Arabidopsis thaliana: one gene and its partners. The protein of the gene in region 3 purifies or fractionates together with the protein of the main gene of each other region. This does not show direct contact. Each region holds a gene or a part of one and is shown on either strand. Other genes may lie near its edges.

The links. Proteins that work in one complex are often made in the same cells at the same time.
Region 1: the proteins of AT1G29880 (region 3) and MTHFR1 fractionate together in Arabidopsis thaliana (co-fractionation; one large-scale study listed by BioGRID). This does not show direct contact.
Region 2: the proteins of AT1G29880 (region 3) and AT5G57655 fractionate together in Arabidopsis thaliana (co-fractionation; one large-scale study listed by BioGRID). This does not show direct contact.

The regions. Positions count from the first base shown.
Region 1 is NC_003074.8:22,149,218-22,154,983, forward strand, and holds MTHFR1 (methylenetetrahydrofolate reductase 1), read left to right. Parts: upstream 1-1,946; 5' UTR 1,947-2,085; coding exon 2,086-2,548; intron 2,549-2,640; coding exon 2,641-2,723; intron 2,724-2,817; coding exon 2,818-2,991; exon of another isoform or gene 2,992-3,212; coding exon 3,213-3,386; intron 3,387-3,486; coding exon 3,487-3,587; intron 3,588-3,693; coding exon 3,694-3,805; intron 3,806-4,036; coding exon 4,037-4,117; coding exon of another isoform or gene 4,118-4,195; exon of another isoform or gene 4,196-4,212; coding exon 4,213-4,390; intron 4,391-4,601; coding exon 4,602-4,936; intron 4,937-5,026; exon of another isoform or gene 5,027-5,028; coding exon 5,029-5,106; 3' UTR 5,107-5,266; downstream 5,267-5,766. Other genes in the region: histone-lysine N-methyltransferase ASHH4, read left to right, coding at 1-166, 262-342, 423-573, 656-683, 762-852, 960-996; AT3G59980 (Nucleic acid-binding, OB-fold-like protein), read right to left, coding at 5,311-5,454, 5,545-5,751. UniProt on the Arabidopsis thaliana protein: The probable reversibility of the MTHFR reaction in plants suggests that they can metabolize the methyl group of 5,10-methylenetetrahydrofolate to serine, sugars and starch.
Region 2 is NC_003076.8:23,344,706-23,350,565, forward strand, and holds AT5G57655 (xylose isomerase family protein), read left to right. Parts: upstream 1-1,969; 5' UTR 1,970-2,324; coding exon 2,325-2,384; intron 2,385-2,488; coding exon 2,489-2,593; intron 2,594-2,701; coding exon 2,702-2,776; intron 2,777-2,887; coding exon 2,888-3,017; intron 3,018-3,101; coding exon 3,102-3,193; intron 3,194-3,410; coding exon 3,411-3,464; intron 3,465-3,667; coding exon 3,668-3,953; coding exon of another isoform or gene 3,954-4,015; exon of another isoform or gene 4,016-4,030; coding exon 4,031-4,264; intron 4,265-4,349; coding exon 4,350-4,420; intron 4,421-4,517; coding exon 4,518-4,558; intron 4,559-4,647; coding exon 4,648-4,747; intron 4,748-4,825; coding exon 4,826-4,975; intron 4,976-5,064; coding exon 5,065-5,100; 3' UTR 5,101-5,360; downstream 5,361-5,860. Other genes in the region: AT5G57640 (GCK domain-containing protein), read left to right, coding at 61-741; AT5G57650 (eukaryotic translation initiation factor-like protein), read right to left, coding at 1,092-1,215, 1,558-1,580.
Region 3 is NC_003070.9:10,458,862-10,464,761, reverse strand, and holds AT1G29880 (glycyl-tRNA synthetase / glycine-tRNA ligase), read left to right. Parts: upstream 1-1,794; 5' UTR 1,795-1,980; coding exon 1,981-2,469; intron 2,470-2,717; coding exon 2,718-3,100; intron 3,101-3,184; coding exon 3,185-3,302; intron 3,303-3,410; coding exon 3,411-3,605; intron 3,606-3,709; coding exon 3,710-3,934; intron 3,935-4,063; coding exon 4,064-4,123; intron 4,124-4,195; coding exon 4,196-4,276; intron 4,277-4,371; coding exon 4,372-4,777; intron 4,778-4,867; coding exon 4,868-5,100; 3' UTR 5,101-5,305; downstream 5,306-5,900. Other genes in the region: RWA4 (O-acetyltransferase family protein), read right to left, coding at 14-86, 162-218, 305-442, 560-651, 1,183-1,230. UniProt on the Arabidopsis thaliana protein: Catalyzes the ATP-dependent ligation of glycine to the 3'-end of its cognate tRNA, via the formation of an aminoacyl-adenylate intermediate (Gly-AMP).

The DNA.
Region 1 (5,766 bases), on a different chromosome or scaffold from region 3:
ACGACAAGATTTGTGAAGAAAGGCTTTGGAAGCTGAATCATAAGGTCGAGACAAATTTCTATTTGTGTCAGATAAACTGGAACATGGTGATTGATGCTACTCACAAGGGTAATAAATCAAGATACATCAATCACAGCTGCAGTCCTAACACAGAGATGCAGAAATGGTTCGTTTGTAACTTATTATCCATCTTCTCACTTTTCTTCTGTTCAAAACAATTGAGCAAAGTTATAGATCATGAACCTTTTTGTTCCCATTTAGGATAATTGATGGCGAGACAAGAATCGGCATTTTTGCTACCCGTTTCATAAACAAAGGCGAGCAGTTGACTTACGATTACCAGTAAGAACATTTCCTTGCATCACAACAATAAAGTATTTGAATGTAAATGTTTAGTTGTGTGATACTAATAAATATAGCAGGTTTGTTCAGTTTGGTGCAGATCAAGATTGCTACTGTGGTGCAGTGTGTTGCAGAAAAAAGCTAGGTGCAAAACCTTGCAAAACTAAGAACACAACCTTAGAAGAAGCTGTGAAGCCAGTGGCATGTAAAGTGACCTGGAAAACGCCCAAGGTAAATTTGAGCTTTGCCTTACTTTTTTTTAGTCATCCTGTGATTGCTAAACAGTAACTTGTCCTTTCAAACATATGGTTAGGGAAAAACTCGAGGGAGACGCATTGCTGGTTAGTATTAATTATTTGGCTCGATTATCGACAAGCTTCTCAATTCAGAGGTAAGAGAAACCAATTTGGATGCGTCAGGACAAGCTTGGAACAATCATAGCCAGAGGAAAATATGTTGCCGGGACTGCATTGGTGCGGTGATCTGGTTAGCACGTCCCATGAACCAAAAGTATAACTATCTTTCTTTTTTTCTCAAAAACCAATTTCTTCCACACCAAAGAACAGTATTACACGGCTCAGATGAAGGTTTTGACTCTAGTAGTTGACATTTTTCAGGTGTTTTGGAATCATTACACAATATGATGAGTTTTAAATAAGCACTTGGTATCTATTCATTTGACTTATTGCCAACACTGTTGTTCACATTCTATCTCAGTTTACGAAATCTAAAGAATGAACATTGACTTTGTCCAGGTCATGTATGAGGATGGTGTTACCGAGATCATCGACATGTGCAGAGAAGTTTGGAAGGTTGTAACTGCTTGATATTGTGACTGTTCCAAGTCTGATTTCATTCCCTTACATAGGATTACACTTGAATTGTCAAGAAATTTTGTAACCAACCAAACCGTGTCGGTTGGCAAATAGGTTTAGACTTTGTTGTTGTATGTATCCAACTTGAATCAGTAGTTCAGTAGTACATTACACTGTATGTGGAATCTTTGGACCAAATAAAGAAAAGTGTTTTTGGATTTTAAACCGGGGTTTTGGTTATTTAAGAGACAAAAAATCTCATACCCGGTTTGCTCTGTCTATAACTCGAGTTTGTTAAGCACGTGATTCTCCTTGGCAATGCTGCTATATCACTAGCCTACTGTCCGTTGTAGCGGATGATACCCACGCGCCGGTGACCGACAGTGGATTTGCCGTTACCGGTGGTAGGTAATGTGGGGTCGTAGCTCACCTACCTAACTAAATTTTCTTTTTCTTATGTTTAGTTGGAAAATAAGAAAAATATAAAAACTAGTTTTTTGTAAAGGAAAAGGATAAAATTACTATTATGGAAAAGATAAATTCCAAAAGTGAGGAAATATGTATTTAGCACAATAAAAAGTGATAGCAATGTGAGAAAAAAAACGTGATAACAGAAATGCTGTGCTAAATTTGGATTTCTTTGTTGAAAATATATTTACATTGATAAATATTATGTAATTAGAAAAAGGAAAATTCAAAATAGATGTGTAGAAAAACAACAATGTTGATAATATAATTTTTTATCTAAAGTTTTTACCGGTTACCAGTTACCACCAAAGTTGTTGGATCTCTATCTTCATTTTTAGAGATTAGTATAAATGAGTGAGTAAACAAACCAGAGAGACCAAACTTGCCTCTCCACCACCACTTCCTCTACCTATCTAATTCCGAATCTGGATTTGGATTTGGATCTCATTTCGATTCAACGATGAAGGTGGTTGATAAGATCAAATCCGTGACGGAGCAAGGCCAAACAGCTTTCTCCTTCGAGTTTTTCCCACCGAAGACAGAAGATGGCGTCGAGAATCTCTTTGAACGAATGGATCGATTGGTCTCTTATGGACCTACCTTCTGCGATATCACTTGGGGTGCTGGTGGATCCACAGCTGATCTCACTCTCGAGATTGCTTCTAGGATGCAGAATGTTATCTGCGTCGAGACTATGATGCATCTCACTTGTACCAACATGCCGATTGAGAAGATTGATCACGCGCTTGAGACGATTAGATCTAATGGAATTCAGAATGTGCTTGCTCTTAGAGGAGATCCTCCTCATGGACAAGATAAGTTTGTTCAGGTTGAAGGAGGATTTGCTTGTGCTTTGGATCTGGTGAATCACATTCGTAGCAAGTATGGTGATTACTTTGGAATCACTGTTGCTGGTTATCCTGGTAATCAAAATGCTCCCTTTTAATCAATTTCATTGTTGGTTTCGTTGTTGTGATTTTGATCTCTAATTGGGGATTTGTGTGTTATGAATCAGAGGCTCATCCGGATGTTATTGAAGCTGATGGACTTGCTACTCCTGAATCTTATCAGAGTGATCTTGCTTACTTGAAGAAAAAGGTTCAGATTTGTGTCTTGGTTTTGAATTTTGTGTGTTGAATTGTTTGTGTTGTCTTGATTTGATGGGTTTAGTGGATTGTGGCTTGTGGTACAGGTTGATGCTGGAGCAGATTTGATTGTGACTCAGCTTTTCTATGATACTGATATATTCCTCAAGTTTGTGAATGATTGTCGGCAAATCGGGATTAATTGTCCCATTGTTCCTGGAATTATGCCTATTTCCAACTACAAGGGGTTCTTGCGTATGGCTGGTTTCTGTAAGACCAAGGTATGTTGTGATCTCTTTCATCTGTGTGATGATATGGCTTGCTCTGTAGACACATGTCGTCTTTGTGCTTAAAGGCTTTAAGATGAGATTGAGTTTACTGCATCTATCTAGTTGCTTGGTGATATATATATAGACCCTTGGTGATGATGCCTTATGACTAATGTGTTCAGATATCATTTTTCTTTGATTTATATTCCACTCATGATTCTATTATTGCATAGATACCCGCTGAGCTCACTGCTGCCTTAGAGCCTATTAAGGATAATGACGAGGCTGTTAAAGCCTATGGAATTCACTTTGCAACAGAAATGTGCAAAAAGATTTTGGCCCATGGAATCACTTCCCTTCATCTCTACACATTGAACGTGGACAAATCAGCTATTGGGATATTAATGGTTTTCTTCTCATTTCCTTCTAAATTGGTTTCTGTGTAGTAATATTTAACACATGGTATTGTGTATACCGGAGAACCTAACAGTGGTGCTCAAATTGCAGAACCTTGGTCTGATTGATGAGTCAAAAATTTCTCGTTCTCTACCTTGGAGACGCCCTGCAAATGTTTTCCGTACTAAGGAAGATGTTCGCCCAATTTTCTGGTAACCTGCATTTTGTTTCTCTTGCTCGGAGTATTATTACAGATCTTTAACTTTAAGATATATTTGCGGAGGAATAATACTGTTACTTCATTTTTTATCTTTGCAGGGCAAACCGTCCAAAGAGCTACATATCTAGAACAAAGGGCTGGAATGACTTCCCACATGGACGTTGGGGTGATTCACACAGTGCAGCATACAGTACACTTTCGGATTATCAGGTACGTACCACATATTTATCAGTTTTCTGACATATCGACTTTATATTTTGAAAACTTGAATTCTGAAAGGCTTGTTTTCAGTTTGCCTTCTCAATTTGCTTAAATTGTATTTGCATATTGTTATTTAGCCCTACCATTATCACTTGTAAGAAGCTGCTTGCTTTGCTTGCCATCTCTTCTGCGTTTTTCATTGCCAATGAGTAGTGCTGATATAAATGCATGTGTTGATAGTTTGCGCGCCCAAAAGGACGTGACAAGAAGCTTCAGCAAGAATGGGTCGTCCCACTGAAAAGCATTGAAGATGTTCAAGAGGTAGGCTTTACTTTACGGACACTCGTACAAATTGTTTCGATCTCTTTCCCTCATACTCACTTGCACATTTTCATGTAAAAACTGTCACAAATCAGAAATTCAAAGAGCTCTGCATTGGAAACTTAAAAAGCAGCCCATGGTCTGAATTAGATGGACTCCAGCCAGAGACAAAGATCATAAATGAGCAACTCGGAAAAATCAACTCCAACGGTTTCCTGACCATTAATAGCCAACCATCAGTCAATGCAGCCAAATCCGATTCTCCAGCTATTGGTAAGAAAACTCAAACTTGTGATCACAAAGCATACCATAACGTTCCAAAAAAAAAAATCTTATTTGACTTGTGATTCATCTGTCATTTCTTAAAAACCTATTTAAACCCTCTAGAGCTTCTGTCTTAGCTTATAACATAATGTTTAAATTGCATTGGGAATATCTACTTGGCTTATAACAAAAATGTATAATTGCAATTGATACTTTGCAGGATGGGGTGGTCCTGGTGGTTACGTCTACCAGAAAGCTTATCTGGAGTTCTTCTGTTCAAAGGATAAGTTAGACACACTTGTGGAGAAATCCAAAGCTTTTCCTTCTATCACCTACATGGCCGTGAACAAATCAGAGAATTGGGTATCAAACACCGGTGAGTCCGATGTGAATGCAGTTACTTGGGGAGTGTTCCCAGCTAAGGAGGTTATTCAACCGACGATCGTGGATCCAGCCAGTTTCAAAGTCTGGAAAGACGAAGCGTTTGAGATTTGGTCAAGAAGCTGGGCTAACTTGTACCCAGAAGATGACCCTTCTAGAAAGTTGCTCGAGGAGGTAAAGAATCTTCTTCTTTTTTCTTCTCTTCTTTTCAGTGACCAGATTGGTTTAGCTGTAATGATGATGGTATGATCCAATCGAATATGCAGGTGAAGAACAGCTACTATTTGGTAAGCTTAGTGGACAACAATTACATCAATGGTGATATCTTCTCTGTCTTTGCTTGATCTCCGAGAAAACCACCGGCGAAGAGGAAACATTCGATTTCGAGATTTGTTTTGTACCTTTTAAAGTTATTTTTGATTCGTAATAACCTTACTTTGATGAATCAACAAAAACATCAGTTTGATTGCAATGAAAAAAATCGCCTTAGCGGTTTGTTCTTTCTCTCTTGTGTCAAAACAACATCACAAAATAGCTTTTAACAGAAATCAAGAAATGTTGGCATTTCTTAAAGACTTGGAAGTAACAAGACCAGAAGATGTCCGCATCAAATGCTCCTTAAGCATTGAAACACCAGACGCATCTGTCTTCAAAAGTGGTTGCACCAATTCCCACATCTTCTTCTTTTGAACCTGAAACAACAAAGAAAACACAGAACTTGAATATGCCATGACTTAAGTCTTGCAGTACTGAAATGATTAGTGCTTTGCAGGCTAAATGACCTTATTAGGAGGTGCAGGTTCAGGAAGCTGCTCGAGATCTTCTTCGTTACCAAACCAAACTCTATCTCCAGGAACAGAGCCTTCTGGTGGAACAAGAAGCTCAACATTTTCATGAGCTGCGTCAGATGCAGCTAAAAGCATACCACATGACTTAACCCCTCTCATATTCCTCGGCTTCAGATTAGCCAGCACCACCACTGATGCACCCTGCACAGAACCAAA
Region 2 (5,860 bases), on a different chromosome or scaffold from region 3:
AATTGAGGTTTTTAGAGTGAGCAAGAACCTTGTGTAGCAAAAACCTTAAATCCGTCATCTATGGGAAGTATAAACTCTGTGGCTGAAGCTAAAACAGAGGAAGATCCTTCGACAAATCAGGGAGATGGGGACGACGAATCACCTAGAACCCTAATTGAAGATCAGAGAGATGTGGAGGAATCAAAAACCCTAAGTGAAGATCAAGTAGATGTGAAGGAATCCAAAACCCTAATTGAAGATCAAGGAGATGAGGAAGAATCTAAAACCCTAGATGAAGATTTGGATGAAACAGAGGAAGAGAGTGGAGAGTGCCCTTTATGCCAGTTCATAAAGGGAGGTGAGTGTAAAGAAGCATTCACAGAATTGGAGAATTGTTGCGACGAAGCAAAGAAGAACAATGAAGATCACGTAAGTAAATGTAAGGAGGCAAGACTCATCTTTAAGACTTGCATGTATGATAACCCTGTTTACTATGAGCCCCTTCTTGCTGGTGAGGCTAGAGCGATGGCCAAGATGTTGAGCGAGTTGTTGAACGCGGAAAAGGAAGCTATTATGGCTGGTGAGCCTGCAGTCATTGCGAGGGCGTTTAGCGGGTTGCAAGAAGAGAATGCTGAGCCAATTCTGCCTGCTGAAGCTGCAGCGATCGGGAAGGCGTTTCGCGAGTTGGAAGCTGGAAAGAAGAAGGAGAAGGAAGCAGAGGGATCCGAGGGTAATGAGAGTGATCATCAGAATCAGAATTAGGTAAAGCTTTTTTTATGAGCATATTGAGACTTACATTGATCTGAATGAAAATTCAAATTTCGTTACTCTTAATTTTGTTTAGGTGTGTCTTCTTATATACACCATTGGTTATGTAATTTGGATGCATCTATAAAATACTGTCGTAATCACCTTCTTCTACAAAAAACTAAGACCATTTTAATATACATTTTGATTTTTTTTAAGATAAGACTTTGTGCAAGAGTTTTTATCCAATGATAGAATCTTAAGTGAGACTTGAGTAGTACTTATGCTCAACTTTTGAAACAAGAGATAGAAGTAAAAGAAAGAAGCACATTCCTTTGGCACATAAAAGTCATCAGCAGTGGTCTTCAGGATCTTCCGCAATACGCTTCAACATGAATAGCAGCCATACGGTCCATGAAGTGATCAGTGGTAATCACTGCAAGATGATCTTCAACAAAATCTTCAATCTTCTTCCAGTCACGATCAAACCTAAGAAACAGAGAGCAGTAGTATCATCAGCACAATCAGGTCCTGCTAAAATCAATATAATACTTTTAAAAAACCACACAAGTATAAAATTATTACAGTTGAAGTGCTTCAAGAAGCAGATCTATTTAGCTAATCAAAAAAGATCAATTAACTCAAGGAAGCAGATCTTTTTTAGCTTAAGTTACTACTGACCTAACACTATCATAAACTTCCCTCTCGTTCACTTATGTATCTGCCTTGACATATCAGTTTATATCCCTAAAAGCCAGCAATAATATTGAAGGATCTAACACTAAGGAAAACTAAAACATGCATTGCTCGCCAATCCAAACAGAAACTCACCAAATCGTAAGTTTCGATATCATCCAAACCAAACAAATTGAATGCCTGGGGAGAGAGAGTCTTACTGAGGAAAAATGCTTCAATTAGCCCAAATATTAAAGTCCCAATATAAGGAGACTTTTTGTTAAATTTTTAGCCCGATTAAACATAACATTTTTTAATCAGCATGCAATATTTTCATTTAATGTGCTCGGTTCTGTCACGGACACTGACATGTAATTTTTCATTTTCACGGGTGAGATAATTTTCAGACAATATTAGAATTTTTTTCTTCCCTTTGTAGTTATTCGAAATTATGTTATTGTTGGGAAGTAATGAAAAAAAACTCAACAAAATTCGATTTAATACCTATCCATAATATTATTGATCCTAAAAATAGAAAAGGATAATTTTGCTGAGTCAGAAACGTGATATTCGCGACGTTGTTTCCGGATAAAGAGTAAACGTACGACTGCTTTAACTCACCTATAAAATCACGACCGTCGATTTCATTTATGTCAAGGGGCAAAACTGAAAATCACACAAAAACAAACAAAACTTTGCTTACGTCACATCATTATCTGTGACTAATTCTTAATCATCATCATCATCATCACTTACTTAAATCTAAAAAAATCTCTGTTTGTATATATATTATCTTTGCGATTTTTATCCAAATCTTCCAAAGCTTAGTTTTTTTTTTTTTTCAATTTCTCTCTTGCGTTTTCGATTTTATTACAAGAACTTTGTTTTGGGCTTCATCCATCGTTCAAGGTTCGTTGAAAACTATGAAGAAAGTTGAGTTTTTTATGCTCCTTCTCTGCTTCATCGCAGCGTCATCTCTAGTGGTAAGACTTAATAATCAAAAGCTCGAATTTTTAATGTTCTTCCAATCATTGAAATATAATCCGAGATTAAAGTTTTTAAATTTGATCTTGATTGGTGTGTAAAGTCTGCTGATCCACCAACATGTCCTGCTGATTTGGGAGGCAAGTGTAGTGATTCTGATGACTGGCAAGGTGATTTCTTCCCTGAAATCCCCAAGATTAAGTATGAGGTAAACAATGGTGATGTTTCTCTTTAAAACTGTTGGTTTAAGTTGGAAACTTTAGTGGATTTGTTGTTTGCATGTGTAGATGAATTGGTTGTTGATGAATTTTTTCAGGGACCTTCGAGTAAGAACCCACTTGCTTACAGGTGGTATAACGCTGAAGAAGAGATTCTTGGGAAGAAAATGAAGGTACTTTTATTTTCTTGTTTGTATTTTCTTGCAACAATTTTTGAGTTATGTTTTTATGGATTTGAAGAAACGTGTGGGATGTTTGTTTGTTGTCCTGAATTTTTTGAACAGGATTGGTTTAGATTCAGTGTTGCGTTTTGGCATACTTTCCGTGGGACTGGAGGTGATCCATTTGGTGCTGCTACTAAGTATTGGCCTTGGGAAGATGGTACTAACTCTGTGTCTATGGCTAAGAGAAGAAGTAAGTCCAGATTGTGTTTTTATGTTAGTTTCTCTTCGTTATCGAGTTACTGTGATTTGAGTTACTGATTGTTGTTTAATGCAGTGAGAGCTAACTTTGAGTTCTTGAAGAAACTTGGAGTTGATTGGTGGTGTTTTCATGACAGAGACATAGCACCTGATGGCACTACACTTGAGGTAACTCGAGCTTCTGAACTTACACCATTTTGCTTTACATTGAAACTACAATCTGCTTTATTGCCTGGTGTTATAAACCATTTTGGTCCTGATATTTCCTTTGCAGCTTGCTGTTTCTTGTGGTACTTGATAACTTTGTTTTGCTCTTGTTGGCCCAATGTTAACTTGTTTCAGTCATAAAGAAAGCGCCTGTAACCTGTTTATACTTAATCTGCAGGAATCTAACAAAAACTTGGATGAAGTTATCGAACTCGCCAAAGAACTCCAAAAGGTGATTCAGTTTGTTAATTTTCCAGTTCTTATTACACATTGGATTTTGGAAGATACTTCTTGTAGTTAATCAATTCTCCAATACAGACTCATGTATGCCATTTTATAATTGAATCTTTTTATCACTGAAACAGTACTATCTTGTTACCATTCCTTAGTTTGATGTGCTAAGAAAAAAAGGTTCTTCGTTTTCTTCAAATGCAGGGGAGCAAAATCAAACCATTGTGGGGAACAGCTCAGCTTTTCTTGCATCCTCGTTATATGCACGGAGGAGCGACCAGCTCTGAAGTTGGAGTGTATGCTTACGCTGCTGCTCAGGTGAAGAAAGCCATGGAGGTAACACATTACTTAGGTGGTGAAAACTACGTTTTTTGGGGTGGTCGTGAAGGTTATCAGACACTCTTGAACACTGATATGGGAAGAGAGCTTGATCATCTAGCCAGGTTCTTTGAAGCTGCTGTTGCTTACAAGAAGAAGATTGGATTCAAAGGTAAGTCTACTGCTTCTTTTTCTTGTCCTGTATTCAGTCTTATGGGAGTTATTGCACAATAATCTTCTTTTTATCAGGCACGCTTTTAATCGAGCCCAAGCCTCAAGAACCCACCAAGCACCAGTATGACTGGGATGCTGCAACAGCTGCCAATTTCTTGAGGAAATATGGTCTTATTGATGAGTTTAAGCTCAACATTGAGTGTAACCATGCCACGCTCTCTGGTCACACTTGTCATCACGAGCTTGAAACTGCAAGAATTAATGGTTTACTTGGCAACATTGATGCAAACACTGGCGATGCTCAAACTGGTAATTTTTCAATTTCAGCTCTCTTGATTGTTAACACCTCCTAACCAGATTCTGATTGAACAAAGTTCTCTCATTCTCTTAACAGGATGGGATACAGATCAGTTTCTTACAGATGTTGGAGAAGCAACCATGGTTATGATGAGTGTCATCAAAAATGTATGTAATATTAAAGAAACTCGCTATTTTTGGGAATTTCATTGTAAATTTTTGAATGTAAGCTCATAAGAGCTTCTGTTTTTCACATATGAAACAGGGTGGGATTGCTCCAGGCGGCTTCAACTTTGACGCTAAACTGTAAGAGCGATTCTTGATTCACAATGTTTTACTGTTTCATACAAAATTAAACCGAGAAAGAAGCTTATAATGTTTGGTTGATTAAACAGGCGAAGAGAGAGTACAGACGTGGAAGACTTATTCATTGCTCATATTAGTGGAATGGATACAATGGCTCGTGGACTGAGAAATGCAGTCAAAATCTTGGAGGTTAGTTAAGATATGAATAGATAAGTTTTATAAAAGAACCAAAGAGTGTAGCTTTAACTTGGTTTCGGTGTGGTAAAGGAGGGAAGTCTAAGTGAATTGGTACGCAAGCGATATGCAACTTGGGACTCTGAGCTTGGGAAGCAAATAGAAGAAGGAAAAGCTGATTTTGAGTATCTTGAGAAGAAAGCTAAAGAGTTTGGAGAACCAAAGGTTTCTTCTGCTAAACAGGTACAAGTTTCTTGCTATTAATTCTGGTTTTGTTTCGTTAAACACGAAAAACACACAATGATCGATGTCTTTTGAAACGAAATCTGCAGGAACTCGCTGAGATGATTTTCCAATCTGCAATGTAAGAAGAAGAACAAGAAGGCTTTTTATGTTTATTAAAAGTATCGTCTTTTTTAGTTTCCCTCGCATCTTTGAGAAGTTTGAAAACCAAAACATTGGAAAATAAGATGATTAGAGAGGTTGGTTTCATTATTTCAGTTGATGTACTATGGTTTCACACTCTAATTACTTTAAATTGAATAACAAAAAACTGTTTAGGCCTTTACTTTGATTCAGTTACGGTTTTTGTGACAAAGACCAATGAGCAATTCCGATCTATTTCTTCACTCGACTATAGTAAAGTTTGTAGGAGGTTTTATACGAGAAAGTTTAAAACAGCGATATACATATATACAATCAAAATTCTTCTTACCTTATGAAAATTTGAAAAGCAATATATGATTTTCACATTAAGCTTTGAGTTTTGAGTTTGAAAACGTTGATTCTTAAAAATGGTCTAACATCAATAAAAACTTTATCCAATTCATTTCGTTTCGTTAGTTATGATTTCAGAATTTTCTGTTGAGATTTAAAGGAAACTCAAAGTCCTAATTTGACAAATTTCTCGACAAAATCTTTGATAGTATTTGATAAGAAAGGTTTGAAAACTAGGGAAACATAGCCTATCTACTTGATGTATCTATGAAATAGTTGTGATGACTTTGTTAATTTCGTATTTGCGACGACCGTGATGTATTACAATAATTGAGTCTTCTATGATGTTGAACCTAATTACTATCCGTCGATGGTTCTAGAAAATTTCTTTATTTGTTGTTGAATGAATTA
Region 3 (5,900 bases):
TTGATGGAGGCACCTTTTGAGACTGCCCGATCAAGCTAGTTCGATCACAAATATAAAAATATAAAAGAATTGCTCCAAACTCAGCCCTACAATAGAAGAAAATGGTCACTATGGAGCCTAATCAGTAAGAATTCAATATTGCTGAGAACTAAGGAACCTACATTGCTCTCAAGGTTGCTCGGTTTTCAAGCAAGAAAGAGTCTTCCAAAGTCAGAAACCTACGAATAAACACAATGCCAATGGTTAAGAAAATATTATGGCTAGAGAACATTCCTCCCTAAGAAAAACAAATAGCTATAACAACCTAATCAAATTTGTTTTGATTGGTGAGCTATAAAACTTTGAAGAGGCAGATCTTGGAAGACCTCCTTCCATTAAAACTGTTCCTTCATCCTCTTTGTTCGTCACCATTTCCAGTTCAACCAAATTCTTATCTGAATGACTGCAAATGTGGATAACGTGAAACCACAAAAACAGTAAGTTCCAAAGAAATTAAACACACATAAGCGAGATATCAGTAGATGAGACTCAATTAGATAATAATCATCCATACACATACACTTTAGCGTGAAAAGAAGACCTCCTATACTCCAGAAATTCCGAGTATAGCCATGCTATCATAAGAGGAATGACTCCAAGCAGAAACGAAACCTGCAACAGAAAGAAGAACAAAAGAAGAAAGATTGAGAACAATAACAGTAATCCAAAAAAACCCACGAAAGTTGTGTTCTTTCAGCCGAATACAAAATGTAAATCTACGCAACAAGGTTCAATCCAAATCTTCCAAACTAAAAGAAAAAGTACGTTGCTTCAAGCTGAAGAAAACACAGAGTGGCTGAGGTAGAAGCTTAGTAAGTTATTAGTAATTGAAAACACTTGACTCAATGTTGAGACATTACAATCTTTGTAAATGAACTATTATAGATCATTGTGCCAGCAGATCATCTGGTGGGATAATCAATCTCACCACTCTACTTTACACAGCCAACATTAATCTAAATCTAGCAAGCAACCGATGAACTGAAGAATGAATCAACCACATTCATATAAAGGAGAAAGATAGAGAGTCCTAATCACATTAAGCTACAGGCCAATTCAATCAAAATCTCAAAATCCGCTTCGGGAAGTTGGAGAAGAATGTAAATCGAAACTTGAATCACCGAAGATCATGAAAAATTGTACCTGACCAGGCGTAATTGGCTGTGACACAACCATATCTACTGGATCCATAAAGGAATACCCAGAGATTCAAAAACTAGATACTGCAATATACACTCCAATTGCAATTAGTTTCAATCTAGGGGATGAAGAGAGAGATAGACAGAGTTAATTGGGGCAGTGGCAACGAAGAAGAAGAAGAAGAGATCTGAAGTGAAGAAGCTATTGCTTCAAGGAAGAAGAAAATGGCGGACGCGACGTCGTTTTCGTCAAATTCAATCGTACGGTTGGTTGGTTTGGCGATTGCCTCTCCTCTAATTGTTAAATTATTAATTACTTATTAATTACTAATTAAGTAAATTACAGAGGTAATCTGATTGTGGTTATACGCAATTTACAGCTCTCACTGCACACAAACTTTTCTTTCTAATCGCAATGCCTTTGCTTACAGAAATGCATGCATTTAGGTTTGGTTTTGACAACATATTTGTGTATCTAAAGAGGAAAAAAAGAACACAAAAACATTAGTGTGGATTTGCCTATAGATAAACAAACGTAGTGGACCTTTCTGGTAGGTGAGGGATAAGTTGGTACCAAACATCAATGTTCACATATTTGTTTGGTGTTAAAGCATTTGGAAAATTTTGCATCCATGTTGAAACGTCAAACGTGTAGATGTGATGACATTTAAATGTCTTTACTCTTTATTGGGTTTAGATTTCATTTCGTCAACCAAACCCACTCCTTGGGCCCAAAGGTTTCCACATTATCATCTTAAACCCTAAGGGGGCCACTAGTAAGTGGAAACAAACACTTCGTCGAATGCGCATCTTCTCTACATTCGTCTTTCATCGCAGACAACAAATCTTCAATCTTCGTCAATTCCAAACCACCACAATCCTTCGCAACCCAATCTCCATCGCTCCGATCCAGATTCCGATGGACGCCACCGAGCAGTCTCTCCGTCAATCTCTTTCCGAGAAATCCTCATCCGTCGAAGCTCAGGGTAACGCCGTCCGAGCTCTCAAGGCTTCCCGTGCAGCTAAACCAGAAATCGATGCTGCCATTGAGCAACTCAACAAATTGAAGCTCGAGAAATCTACCGTCGAGAAGGAGCTTCAGTCTATTATCAGTAGCTCCGGTAATGGTTCGCTTAACCGTGAGGCTTTTCGAAAAGCTGTTGTCAATACTCTCGAGCGGCGTTTGTTCTATATCCCTTCGTTTAAGATCTACAGTGGCGTCGCTGGACTTTTTGATTATGGTCCTCCTGGCTGTGCTATTAAATCCAATGTTCTCAGCTTTTGGCGTCAAGTAAGGAACAACACTATTCACATTTCTCTGTATTTAAATTCGACAAGATTTTGGTTGTATAAACCGAGTTAGATTTGTTACTAAACGTGATTGAATGGAGTAGAAATTGAGTCAAATGTGACAAGATTCATAGAGTAGAGTTACGTTTGGAATTATACAGATTGATGTGGGTCAAATTTGACATGATTCATAGAGTAGAAATTGTGTTAGGCTTGTTCTTATACGGGAGTGATTTGCTTCGTTTGCAGCATTTCATTCTTGAGGAGAACATGCTAGAAGTTGATTGTCCATGTGTGACACCAGAGGTTGTTCTCAAGGCATCTGGGCATGTAGATAAGTTCACTGATCTTATGGTTAAGGATGAGAAAACTGGAACATGTTACCGTGCTGACCACTTGCTCAAGGATTATTGTACCGAGAAGCTGGAGAAAGATCTTACCATCTCTGCTGAGAAAGCTGCTGAATTGAAGGATGTTCTTGCTGTTATGGAAGATTTTTCTCCTGAACAGCTAGGTGCCAAGATCAGGGAGTATGGGATCACTGCTCCAGACACGAAGAATCCACTCTCTGATCCTTACCCGTTTAATTTGATGTTTCAAACATCCATTGGCCCATCTGGTTTGATTCCTGGGTGAGTATTTTTCATGTTATAATCATTTCTGAGCCACTTTCTTTCCTGAGTTTGTTATCAAATTACTCCTCTTTTGTGTTTCAGTTACATGCGTCCTGAAACTGCTCAAGGTATTTTTGTCAACTTTAAGGACTTGTACTATTACAATGGGAAGAAACTTCCTTTTGCCGCGGCTCAAATTGGTCAAGCCTTTAGAAATGAGGTAATGTATTACTTTGCTTGATGTATGGGATGTCTTCATCTCAATCTTCTTTAAGAAATTCTTTTCTGCATTATGTCTGGGTTTTAATAAGTAGCATATTACTCGCAGATATCTCCTCGACAAGGGCTTCTTAGAGTTCGTGAATTCACGCTGGCAGAGATTGAGCACTTCGTTGATCCTGAGAATAAGTCACATCCTAAGTTCTCTGACGTAGCAAAATTGGAATTCCTTATGTTCCCAAGGGAAGAACAAATGTCTGGCCAATCTGCCAAAAAACTTTGCCTTGGTGAAGCTGTTGCTAAAGTTAGTATTTGTAATCATATTCGCCTACTTAATTCTACTAAGAACTCGCACACACCCATTTTTATATCTTATTGATGCCTGACACTGAAATCCTATTCGTATAGGGTACTGTGAACAATGAAACTCTAGGATACTTCATTGGGAGAGTGTATCTTTTCCTTACTCGTCTTGGCATTGACAAGGAACGGCTGCGCTTCCGTCAGCATCTAGCAAATGAAATGGCCCACTATGCAGCAGATTGTTGGGATGCTGAAATTGAAAGTTCATATGGGTGGATTGAATGTGTTGGGATTGCAGATAGGTCTGCTTACGACTTACGTGCTCACTCTGTAAGAACCTCACCTTTTACTTCTATTTTCATCATTTCGTTTTACAGCTAGATAATTAATGATCAAAACCCGTAAGTGTTCCTGTTTAAATTCACTAAAGTATATTGTTGATCAACTGTTGCGCGACAGGACAAAAGTGGTACTCCTCTTGTGGCTGAAGAGAAATTTGCAGAACCTAAAGAAGTAGAGGTATTTTAGTGAACAGATTCATTCATCTCTGTCTTTATTACTTGTCCTTAACATGGTTATCTTTTATATCAGAAACTTGTGATAACTCCTGTGAAGAAAGAACTGGGTCTTGCATTCAAGGGAAATCAAAAGAATGTGGTTGAATCTTTGGAGGTTGAACTCTTAACTGTTTTACTGAATAACTTTTTTTTTTAATAATATGGTGATGGTTTAGAATAAATATCATGCTTCGTGTAATGTTTTGTTAGGCGATGAATGAGGAAGAAGCTATGGAGATGAAAGCAACCCTGGAATCCAAAGGGGAAGTGGAGTTTTACGTGTGTACCCTAAAGAAAAGCGTGAACATCAAGAAAAACATGGTGTCTATATCAAAGGAGAAGAAGAAAGAGCACCAGCGGGTTTTCACTCCATCAGTGATTGAACCATCGTTTGGGATTGGTCGGATCATATATTGTCTGTATGAGCATTGTTTCAGCACAAGGCCAAGCAAAGCAGGGGATGAGCAGTTGAACTTGTTCCGTTTCCCTCCTCTTGTAGCTCCCATCAAGTGCACGGTTTTCCCGCTTGTTCAGAACCAACAATTCGAGGAAGTAGCCAAAGTTATTTCCAAGGAACTCGCCTCTGTCGGTATCTCCCATAAGATTGACATCACTGGTACGTAAAAACAAGTTGAGAATTGAAGTTTTTTGAAATATTGAAATGGATCAAATCAAGTAAAGATTTGTTGTGTTTGTGTGTGAACAGGTACATCGATAGGGAAGAGATATGCGAGAACCGATGAGCTTGGAGTGCCATTTGCAATAACAGTGGACTCGGATACATCAGTGACAATCAGAGAAAGAGACAGCAAAGATCAAGTCCGAGTCACCTTGAAGGAGGCAGCTTCCGTTGTGAGCTCAGTCTCAGAGGGGAAAATGACGTGGCAAGACGTCTGGGCAACCTTCCCTCACCATTCTTCTGCTGCTGCAGACGAGTAGCTAGCTCCTTGTTTTTTTCCGAATTAAAAACCAAAGTGTTAAATTAATTGTTGCTGAATCTACTCATTTTTAATGTTTTGTTTCTTAGTGTCACGTAAAAAGTTCGATACCAGATTTGGAGACGAAGTGGCTATAAAGTATAAACTCTCTGTTATATTTTCGTCCATTCTACTGCTAATTTTCTAAATTTTGGTCACAAATTTCAGTCCATCCAGTTATGGTCTGAATTGTTTGTGTTTGCATTAAGAAAAAAAAGTATGAAGGATCATTGTTTTTACAGTTTGCTAAGGATTACAAAGTTACAAGTTAGAGAAGCAAAGAGTTGACGCATCCTTGGGCAGTTGGTAGCGCCATCGTGCATATATACTGACTATTTTAGGTTTTAGTTTAGATGCAGAGATGGACTAAACCAGAGGAAAGCACATTCAAAAGTTTTTGATATCGAATAATGGGTTAGTTAAATCCAAGTTTTATGATAATGCAGCCATGCAGGCGGATAGAAATCTCGATCTTGGAGGACGTAACACAATTAGGCAAGTTATGAAGGAAAGTAAGATTATCAATATTTATGATTTTATGATTGTTATTTATATAATTAAATACAAATAATTAATACAATAGACTATAGGCAAGATATATTTAAAAAAATATTTAATTGAAATTACAATTAAAATGTTTAAGAACGAATAGAGATTTTATATTTTTTTTTAAAAACTCATCGCTTGAGCACCAAGTTTCGCATTGTAATAAAAATCCTAAAGTAACAAAACCCTGCTGAAGTTTCCCATATTAAAACCCTA